2 linked regions of the Drosophila melanogaster genome follow. The protein of the gene in region 1 purifies or fractionates together with the protein of each later gene. This does not show direct contact. Each region holds a gene or a part of one and is shown in the gene's direction. Other genes may lie near its edges.

Region 1 (5,597 bases):
TTGGTCCTGAACGCTAGTGGGTTCAAAGTCCGGCTTATTCCACTGCTCCACTTGTTTGCCCAGGAAATGAACCTCTGGAGTGTAGAATGAAATTCCCACGTTGGCTGCAAAAAGTCTGTCTACTAAAGAGTGATCTTTGCGCCGCTTGGTGGCTCCCTTGCCCGTCTCCGGTCTTCCGGCTGCATCGCCGACGAAGAAACATCGATCTTCCTGAATCTCAACGCCATCATTCATTTCACTCTTTAAGTGCTGCCACATTCCCGTCAAAGGTTTGCGATAAAATCCATCACCTATGGCTATAAATACTTGAATTGGAACTCCCAGTTTAGCCACAATATGCTTGATCTTGACCTTAAAGTCATCTAGGTTGATTTTTCCACGAGCAATGCCTCCTTGGTTGGTGAAGAGACAGATTTTAAACCCATCCTTGTGGAGATTCTTTAGTTTCTCCGGCACTTCGGGAAATATGATCTGCCAGTCGTCGGTGTTTTTGGGGAACACCAGTCCCGATTTTGTTTTTATAATGGTGCCGTCCATGTCGTAGCCAGCTATCTTTTCAGAACCTTTAACGCCGACGCTGGTAAAGATAACCAGCTTACCATTGCCAGATGAGTCCCACCTCTCGGATTTCTCTGACGGTGATAGTGTTGTGGACAACGGCTCAGCTTTCTCCTTGTCATACTCCGGTGGAGGGTTAAAGACGACCTCGAACTGATGCCTGCCGTAAACGATCTCCACCAAGTCTCCGTGCTTCAGCTCGCGTTCCCCGTTCTGCATAAGCATCAGACCATTGACGCCGCAGGGATTAACTCCCAGGACTTTAAGTGAAACTACAGCCTTTTTTAGGTCCACTTGCAGTTGAATCTGTCGCTTCGAGCACTTGGAATCTCGGATGCCGGTCTCCCGGCTGCGTCCCACGAAATTCTCCCCAGCGGTCAGGTGTATAGAATGGTGTTCCGGCTCAGTGGGTTTAAGGGTGCATATCCTGGCGGCCACATCCTTGCCAGCTTTTCCAACGGATCGGTTTAGGTATTTAGCCATAGACATTTTGGTTAATCAATAAATAAGAGCATTGCTTAATATTGACACCAAAATTCACTAGAGAGCGAATAGTGTGACCTAATTTGGCATTAAAAGAAGAAGAGTGGCACACAGACATATGTACTTTGAAATGAAAGTGGTTGTTTTTACCTATTTAAATTGAAAAATAAATTACTCCATATAAAAATCGGAGCCTAGGCTCTGTGTGAAACCCTTCCAGAAATCTTAAATCCATCAAAGATGGCTTATAGTAATAGTGTCACTTAAACATTATTCGATAGTTAAAGGCAGACAAAATTTTGTTCCGAATACTCCAGAAAGTTTCAGGAAACGTAAATGCAAAGAAACTGTTTCTCTTTGCGCGTAAGTTACCACCATTCCATACAAAACATTAATTTAATTCGTTCTTTCCGATCAGCCCTTCCTTCGGGGAGTCGGTGATGTGGGTGCAGTTTGTAAGCCCATTCGTGAATTTCGCAACTCGGCTGCTTTGAAATATGCTGCTGCTGCAGCTGCAGCTCCGAAGACACGTCCTGGAAAAGTTCCTCCAAAAATGGTCAAATTGAGGAAGCAATTTCAGGCGGACAATGATTTGCCGATTTTTCTAAAAGGCGGCAGTATGGATAACATATTATACAGACTCACCTGGGTGCTCTGCTTCCTCGGCATAGGTGGCGATGTATGGTTGTGGCTTGGCTATATCATTGCCTAAAATCAACAGAGATCATGCAAGCAAGCCCACAAAACACAAATACTCTGTACACGAATGCAAATACCAATTGTAACGACACATACATTAGTTAACTAGTAACGTTTCTGTACATAGGTAGTTCAAATACGGAAAATCAATTATATAATAATAATAATGTGCTTTACTTCAAAGTGTTCATTGGAGTTTTTAAATTATGCCGCCAATATTTTGCCATTCACATATCATATAACACATATGTGGTGTTATATCGACTCACAAAGCAGCTGGTCACACTGCTTGAACAACTTGCACTTTTGTCGGCATTTCTTAACTGCATATTTTCTCACTTTTTAAAGGTAAGTACGCACGAAATTACTTATTGATTATCTTTTCCACTTAAAACACGAATGCCCGGTGGGTTTTTGTTTGTTTTGCGATTGACTAACCACGTAGTTCTTAAACATTCACATTTTCCTTGGGCTCTGCCAGTTCTTCACGTTTTCGGGCTCCATTTTAGCCATAGTTTTGTTTTCTATATTCTTGTGGTAAAACGCCGCTTAACTGCCACATCTGCAGTTTAGCCGGCTTGCTGGAGATAAAATTGCATTATCAAGTTTTCATGTGTTCCCCGAGTTATTTGGCTTTTCATCCAAATTAAAGTAGCCTTTTCACATTTTCCAGTTGGGCGACAAGTAATGTAAAGTCTTCAAATAGAATACTCTCAAAAAATTCCCAGTAATGTTTTGGCTAAGAGGGCTACAGAGATCCCGGCAGCAACTGAACAGGCTGTGTCATTTCCGTAGTCGTCTAAATTACGGGACCAGTCCCAGTATTCGCTCAGTCCAACCGTCAATCTCCAGAAGTTTGGGATTTTGTAGCTCCCTCGTTCGTTACAGGTATTTGCCAGGTGTTATCTAAAGCCCATGTATATAATCGGTCCGGTTCGCCATATGATATCTTTGCAGCTGCAGCACCAACCTTCCCCAACCCGCTGAGATGGCCAGTAAAACCGCGCACTTCGTCCTGCCTAACACGCAGCCCATTGCCGATTTGGACTGCAAGAGTGCCTTCGAGAATCTCACCGAGAAGGAGAAGCTCTACGCCCACCACTTCAGCCAGGCCTCCTGGGACGGCGGACTCATTGCCTTGATCCAGTCCAGTCCGGAGGCGCCGCTCATCTTCTCCCTGCTGCACCGCATTTTCCTAGCCGAAAAGATTCCTGTTCTTAGGGCGAAAGCCCTGGAGGCGGGAGTGTCTGCTGATGATTTTACGGTATGGCAGAGGAGAGTTTCATATTCTCGAAAATAAATATTAATTTTGATCACTTTCAGGCCTTCCTAGTGTACGCCTGCGGTGTGTTCGCCAACGCGGGCAACTACAAGGGTATGGGCGACAGCAAGATCGTTCCCAATCTCTCAGAAAAGCAATTTGAGACTATAGTAAAGGCATCCGCTGCTTACAGCGATGAGCCGCGCGTAGGCAAGATCTTCGAGAAGGTCAAGAATCTGATTTATGCGCTCGAGTCGCGTAACGAGATCCTGGGCTTTGCTCCCGACGGAATCACCACCTACTGGTCGGATAACTGCACCAAGGAGGACTCCGAGATCGTGAACGCTTGGCTGACCTCAAAGCGTATCGAACCGTACATGTGCCGGACCTTCAAGATAGTTGAAAATGGTCAAACCGTCTACGATGTAAAGCTGGGCTCCGTGGCGGAGTCCACGCAGGACGGCATCACACTTCCGCTGGAAGAGTATAATGGCAACAAGTTTAGGGTGACACGCGGTGATTACCAGAAGCTGCTTCAGCGCGTCAACCAGCATCTGCTGCAGGCCCAGAAATACGCAGCCAATGAAAACGAGTCCAAGATGATCGAGCACTATGTCCGATCCTTTGAACAGGGCTCGCTGGACGAGCACAAGAACGGATCGCGTTGGTGGATCAAGGACAAGGGACCTGTCATCGAGACCTACATTGGTTTCATTGAGACATACAGGGATCCTGCTGGAGGTCGGGCTGAATTCGAGGGCTTCGTGGCCATGGTGAACAAGGAGAGCTCGGCCAAATTCTCCGAGCTGGTGAACCGCGCCGAGAAACTAATAGAGTACCTGCCCTGGACGGAGCCTTACGAGAAGGACTCTTACCTGAAGCCAGACTTCACATCCCTGGATGTCCTCACATTTGCCGGCAGCGGAGTACCAGCGGGCATCAATATTCCCAATTACGACGAAATCCGCCAGGATGAAGGCTTCAAGAACGTCTCGCTGGGCAATGTGCTGGCCAACATCAACCGCAAGGATCCCATTCCTTTCCTCACCGAGGAGGATCAAACTCTGATGAAAGAGTACAAGGTGAAGGCTTTTGAGGTGCAAGTGGGCCTCCATGAACTCCTAGGCCATGGTAGTGGCAAGCTATTCCGCATCGACGAAAATGGTGTGTACAACTTTGACAAGGAGAACACTAAGAACCTGGTCACCGGTGAACCCATCACCAAGTGGTATCTTCCTGGAGAAACTTACGACACCAAGTTCGGAGCAATTGGTTCCTCGTACGAGGAATGCCGCGCCGAGGCGGTGGGCTTGTATCTCTCCCTGCAGCGTGACATCCTGGAGATCTTTGGCTTCAAGGACAAAGCCGAGCAGGACAACATCATCTATGTCAACTGGCTGAGTCTCATCTGGAACGGCATGGGTGTGGCTCTGGAAATGTTCAACCCGAAGTCCAAGCTGTGGCTCCAGGCGCACTCTCGCGCTCGTTTCGTGATCATGAAGGTGCTGCTGGAGGCAGGCGAAGGACTCGTTAAGGTCGAGGAAACCGAAAAGGGTAAAAACCTTTTGCTGACGGTGGATCGCAGCAAGATCGATACCGTGGGCAGGAAGGCGCTGGGCGATTTCCTGACCAAGCTGCAGGTGTACAAATCCACCGCCGACATCGAGGCAGCTTCCAAGATGTACGAACACTACTCGAAGGTCGACGAGAGCGGATCGCATCCGTGGGCCAAGTGGCGGGATATCTGCCTGGCGCACAAGAAGCCGCGTATGATTCTCGTCCAGGCCAACACGGCGATCGGCCAGGACCAAAAGGTCCAGCTGAAGACCTACGAGCCCACCCACGAGGGGTACATCCAGTCATGGGTGGAGCGCTACCCCAACACTGACATCGACGATCTTCTGGAGAGCATCGTGGAGAAGGACAAGAAGTATTTCCCGACTGCCTTCAACAACTGAGAACATTTCGCATTTAACATTTTCGCCTTCATTATCAATTCAATTTGTTAACTATGATTTTGAAAAAAAATATATAAAAATATATATAGTCATCTAATGACCAACAATTTTAAATTTTAAATTGCTTTTATAGTAAAACTTTCGTAGTGAATGGTGATTTTAAGATCGTTTTTGCCATTCACCGAAAATATTGACAAAGGACCTGAATTTAATTGCTTGTATGTACATACATATATTGCGACCAAATGTATATTGCTCATAATAGCTCCACAATTAAGAATGTAAATATAAAATCAAATACTACAATTTGTTCATTGAATGTTTTCATAGTAGCCAGTCGATAAATATTGGTTTTTTTTTTTTTATTTTGTTTCTCGTTTCCATTTCTGTTTGCATTGTTTTGACCACCATGGCAACCGGTAGAAATCGTGGTAACCACAAGGAAGGTGGCACTATCAACATCGGACAGCCGCTATTCCAGGTGCCTCATTCATTGCGCAAGGAGCACGACTTTTTCAGCTCACAGCTGTTCCGAAAATTGCAGTACGACCTGGAGGAGGTGAGCCGCAGCCAGGAGCTTTCCAAAGTGAGTCCCATAACCCGCGACTTCATCGAGGAGGCAGCGATGACGCAGGAAA
Region 2 (3,991 bases), on another chromosome or scaffold:
TTCTTGTGAATTATATACAAATAGATTTCTTTTAGGTATCACAAAATGCCAAAATTTACTTGCGAAAACGCAGTTTCAATAATAATTACTAACTTTTAACGCACACCAAACTTAACACTTTGAGCGATCATATAAGCAACTGATAAATCTGAAATCGATAACAAAAATTAAGTTATATGAGATTTAGAAGCAACTTAAAAGAATAAAAAACGTTCACAAAAAAAGGCAGAAACGAACGCGACGCCATTTTGAATTATTCGAATTCACTTTGTCCGCTTTCGCCGTTAAAAAACGGCTAATCGGAAACAGTATTTTACAGATTAAAAAAAAAAAATTAAAAACCTTGTAAAAGAAAAACATAAAAATAACATAAGCTTACCGTAAGAATATATAAACGATTTCTAAGTGGTTTTCCCAGTCTGATTATTGCGATTACCAGGTTATTTCCAGTTCTTTCAGTAACTTCTACATCCCATAAATAATATTGTTTTTTTTCAGCCCGACACGGCCACCATTATCGCCATTGGAGCGGCCGCAGACTTGGCATCTCGTATTTTCCTGGCCATCACCGCCGTGTGCATCCAGGTTCCTTCGAGATACATTTATTTGGCCGGAGCCGTTTTCACCGTCTTTGCGAGATTCGGTAGGCGAACCCTTCCTTGGGCTCCAAGAACTCCCTTCCTCCCACTAATCTCACTCATTTTCCCACAGCCTTCAACGGAATCACACAGTTTGTGGGCATGGCCTGCATCACGGCGGTCATTGGATTTCTGCGCACCTGGCTCCACGTTCCACTGCCTCTGGTCTTTGCCGACTACTTGCCCAAGGAAAGGTGGGTTCTTTTGGCAAGCTTATAGCATTTATCACAAAATTATAATATATATTCCTCATATATTTCCATCTCGTTTAAGGTTCGCCACTGGCTATGGCCTTTTCATGTTCATCCAAGGCAATGCCATGTTCCTCATCGGTCCCATTGTTGGGTTTATTCGGGACAAGACCAGGGATTACATTTTCGTCTTTCACATCCTAAACGGCTTCATGATCCTGTGCGCCGCTCCTTGGGTCCTCGAAGTGCTGATCGTCAAGTTTCGGAGGCGTAACAAAATCGAACGCAACAACGTTGATCACGAGGATGTTGATAACCAGGGACGTAGTGCAATGGTCCAATAAAAAAAACTCTACCACCCCCCCCCCCCCTTCCTTTTTTTTTAACAAAACATATCGTGAATTATTGAGGTAATTTAGGTACAATTACGAGAAGTATTAAGCAAATAAAACCAAAACATGTTTTTAGATGGGAAATTAAATTGTCAAAAGTATCATTTGCGATAAAGAAAAAAACAGCTTGTTCTTAAAATGGAAATTTGATAATGAAACATATATATTTAATATTTAATATAATAGCTTGGAAAAATGAATGTGATACAGTATTTTTCAAAAAAGGAAAAAACATAAATTCAAAAATCACAGTTAAACTGTTTAATACTTAACGGTAATGTCACAGTTTTCGGTATTTACAAATAGAGAAGTCGGTAGCTTAGTACAACCATTTGGTATTCGCCGCTGTCCACGTGGCGGTCACACTAACGGGGTCCAAGAAACTGAAATTTAGTAAATAATATAGAATAGGATAGTTAACCAGGTGACAATGCTGCAGCAAATCAAGATGCTGGTGCTGGGCATCATCACGCTGTGCCGGCGTGCCTTGTGCTGCTTCTCCAGGCGCCGCAAGCTCAGCCACAGCGGCTCCGCCACCGGATCCGCCGACCAACTGCAAGCGGTCAACGTGATCGTGGAGCGAGGCGACTTCTCCGCCACCGGCGCCACCTCCGCTGGCCAGGCCGGCGGTGGCAGGACAGCGGGGGCGCGCGAGCGGGACTGGAACTCCTGGGACGACAGTCCGCGCACCGTGGAGGAGCACATCGAGCAGTACCGCCAGCGAATGGCCCAGCCACCCACTCCGCCCAAGGAGGAACCCGAACCGGACTTCTTCAGTGTGAGTTGGTACTCAGGCAATGGGCGCGGATTACGCAGATTGCGCCGCTTGCACGGCCCATAGTCGTAGCCCAATTGTAGGGATATTCACGCTCGCTGATGGTGGGATAGTGGGCTATGTTGGGGCTAAATGGCGACATCCCCACCTGTACACGTATCTAGGTGACTTCGGCGTGTTTACCCTATACCCTATCAACTGCACAAGTTTGTATGTGGGCCATAATCACGTCATAAAGATTAGCAGCCATAGAAAACGACAGGTATAAAAATCTAGAAAGAAATCATTTTCGAAACTATTCACAACCATTTATTTCAAATTACGCTTAATTTCTAGTTGTGTTTAACTAAATATTTGTGGAATATTTAAAAGGTTTACTTAAAAAATATGAATATTTAGCTTATTACTGTGATAATTTGTTAATATTTCAATAGTTTTTTAGAAATTTCAAAAATATGATTTTATGAGTCCACAACATTTGAACCAGGAATACTTAAAGAGTGTACTTAAACGCATTATTTGTTAATAGATACTTGCAGATTTGACAAATGCAAATGTCAAAATATTTATCCTATGATTTTTAAAGCTATAAAATATAGAAAACTTGCATAGTAAACTAAAAAGTGAGTGCTTACAACGCTGAATAATATTTGTTAATGAACAGCCGTTTTTAGTTTGCTAATTGTTCATATTGAGGTATCTGTTTTATGAACAAAAACTCCATATTATTTCTACGCAACAGGCATTGATTTAAGTAAAAAATAAAAAACATGAAGAACCATCCAGCTAAATAAGTTAGTTAATACCTACAAAAGTAAAAACAAGCAAATAAAAAAATTGTGAATCACAATGCATATATTCTTTATATGACTATATATAGAATATATAAGTATTTATAATATCTGTGTTTCATATCCTCAACGATTTGGCTAAAATGTAACCTTCTTTTAGGAGCTGACGCCCACCATCAAGCCGCAGATGAAGTTCTACCTGGAGGATCCATCCACGAGTGCGGCGACCAGCCAACAAAGTGACTTTTCAAGACTGCAGGCCCAGGACTTGGTGCCAATTAGCGTAAATGTGAGCCAGTTATAGCCCGAATGGAATGCATGAAACGAACTAATGTTTCTTACTCGGCAGGCCGATCTCGAGGACTGGGTGGATGATAATGCCGGCGGCTGGGAGGAGCTGGACACCTCCCAGACCAAGCACATTCTGCGTGAGAAGCGTCGTGAGTTGCGCCATCAGCGACAGCCGCCCGTCCGCCCGGCCCCGCCCACTGTGGGCGCTCAGCGACTGACCGCCGGACAGCGAGCGGCGTAGTTGTAGCTGCACCAGCCCCTAGCCAACCTCACCAACCTCACCAGCCTCACCCACTCTGACCATTCCACAACCGACCACCTGCATTCTGTTTCCCCTTTCTTTTGTTCGATTTAGTTGATTGGCTACACGAAATAAATCTTGCCTTTCACTCGCACTTCCCTCCTCGCGGATCAGTTGGGCCACACTTCCTGATGGCTCTGCGGTTTGGACGCGCTCCATTGGACCCGCTTCCATCTGCAGTGAAGTGAAGTGGCGTGCAGTCGAGTCAGGCCGAGTGTCGAGTCCATAAAAGCGACGGCAGGCGACGGAAGTCGCAGATTTCTATGCGATGCTGTTGCCGGAGCTGCTGCTACTCGGCTTGGCCGTCTCCCTGGCGGACAGCTACGACCGAAGCGTCAACTACTGGGAGGCCTTTGCGCCCGGCAAGCTGCTCCAGCGCCTGGACGCTCTCACCGTCACGGATGTGGACCAATCGAAGGTGGTCAAACTGCCGCAGTTGATGCAGCCCATCCTGCCAGCCAACGAAGCGCAGGCCAAGGTGGATGAGGACGTGGACGTGGATGTTGAGACGGATGCAGAGGCGGCGGCCGTTGACGATGTGGACAGCCTTAGTGCGGAGACCAGCCACGAGGGCTACTCCGGCGAGGACAACTACGAGCGCAACTACGAGCA

Evidence for each region. Proteins that work in one complex are often made in the same cells at the same time.
Region 2: the proteins of DppIII (region 1) and CG32536 purify together in Drosophila melanogaster (affinity purification with mass spectrometry, with the first as the bait; one large-scale study listed by BioGRID). This does not show direct contact.

The regions. Positions count from the first base shown.
Region 1 is NT_033777.3:8,342,396-8,347,992, forward strand, and holds DppIII (dipeptidyl aminopeptidase III), read left to right. Parts: upstream 1-2,004; 5' UTR 2,005-2,088; intron 2,089-2,413; 5' UTR 2,414-2,470; coding exon 2,471-2,628; intron 2,629-2,697; coding exon 2,698-3,004; intron 3,005-3,063; coding exon 3,064-4,959; 3' UTR 4,960-5,070; downstream 5,071-5,597. Other genes in the region: PNKP (polynucleotide kinase 3'-phosphatase), read right to left, coding at 1-1,047; COX7AL (cytochrome c oxidase subunit 7A-like), read left to right, coding at 1,378-1,404, 1,460-1,753; CG7352 (uncharacterized protein), read left to right, coding at 5,369-5,597. UniProt on the Drosophila melanogaster protein: Degrades neuropeptide proctolin (RYLPT) by cleavage between Tyr and Leu residues.
Region 2 is NC_004354.4:19,274,485-19,278,475, reverse strand, and holds CG32536 (uncharacterized protein), read left to right. Parts: upstream 1-1,577; 5' UTR 1,578-1,651; coding exon 1,652-1,999; exon of another isoform or gene 2,000-2,258; intron 2,259-2,947; coding exon 2,948-3,076; intron 3,077-3,136; coding exon 3,137-3,319; 3' UTR 3,320-3,472; downstream 3,473-3,991. Other genes in the region: CG8028 (uncharacterized protein), read left to right, coding at 499-643, 712-832, 912-1,173; CG32537 (uncharacterized protein), read left to right, coding at 3,648-3,991.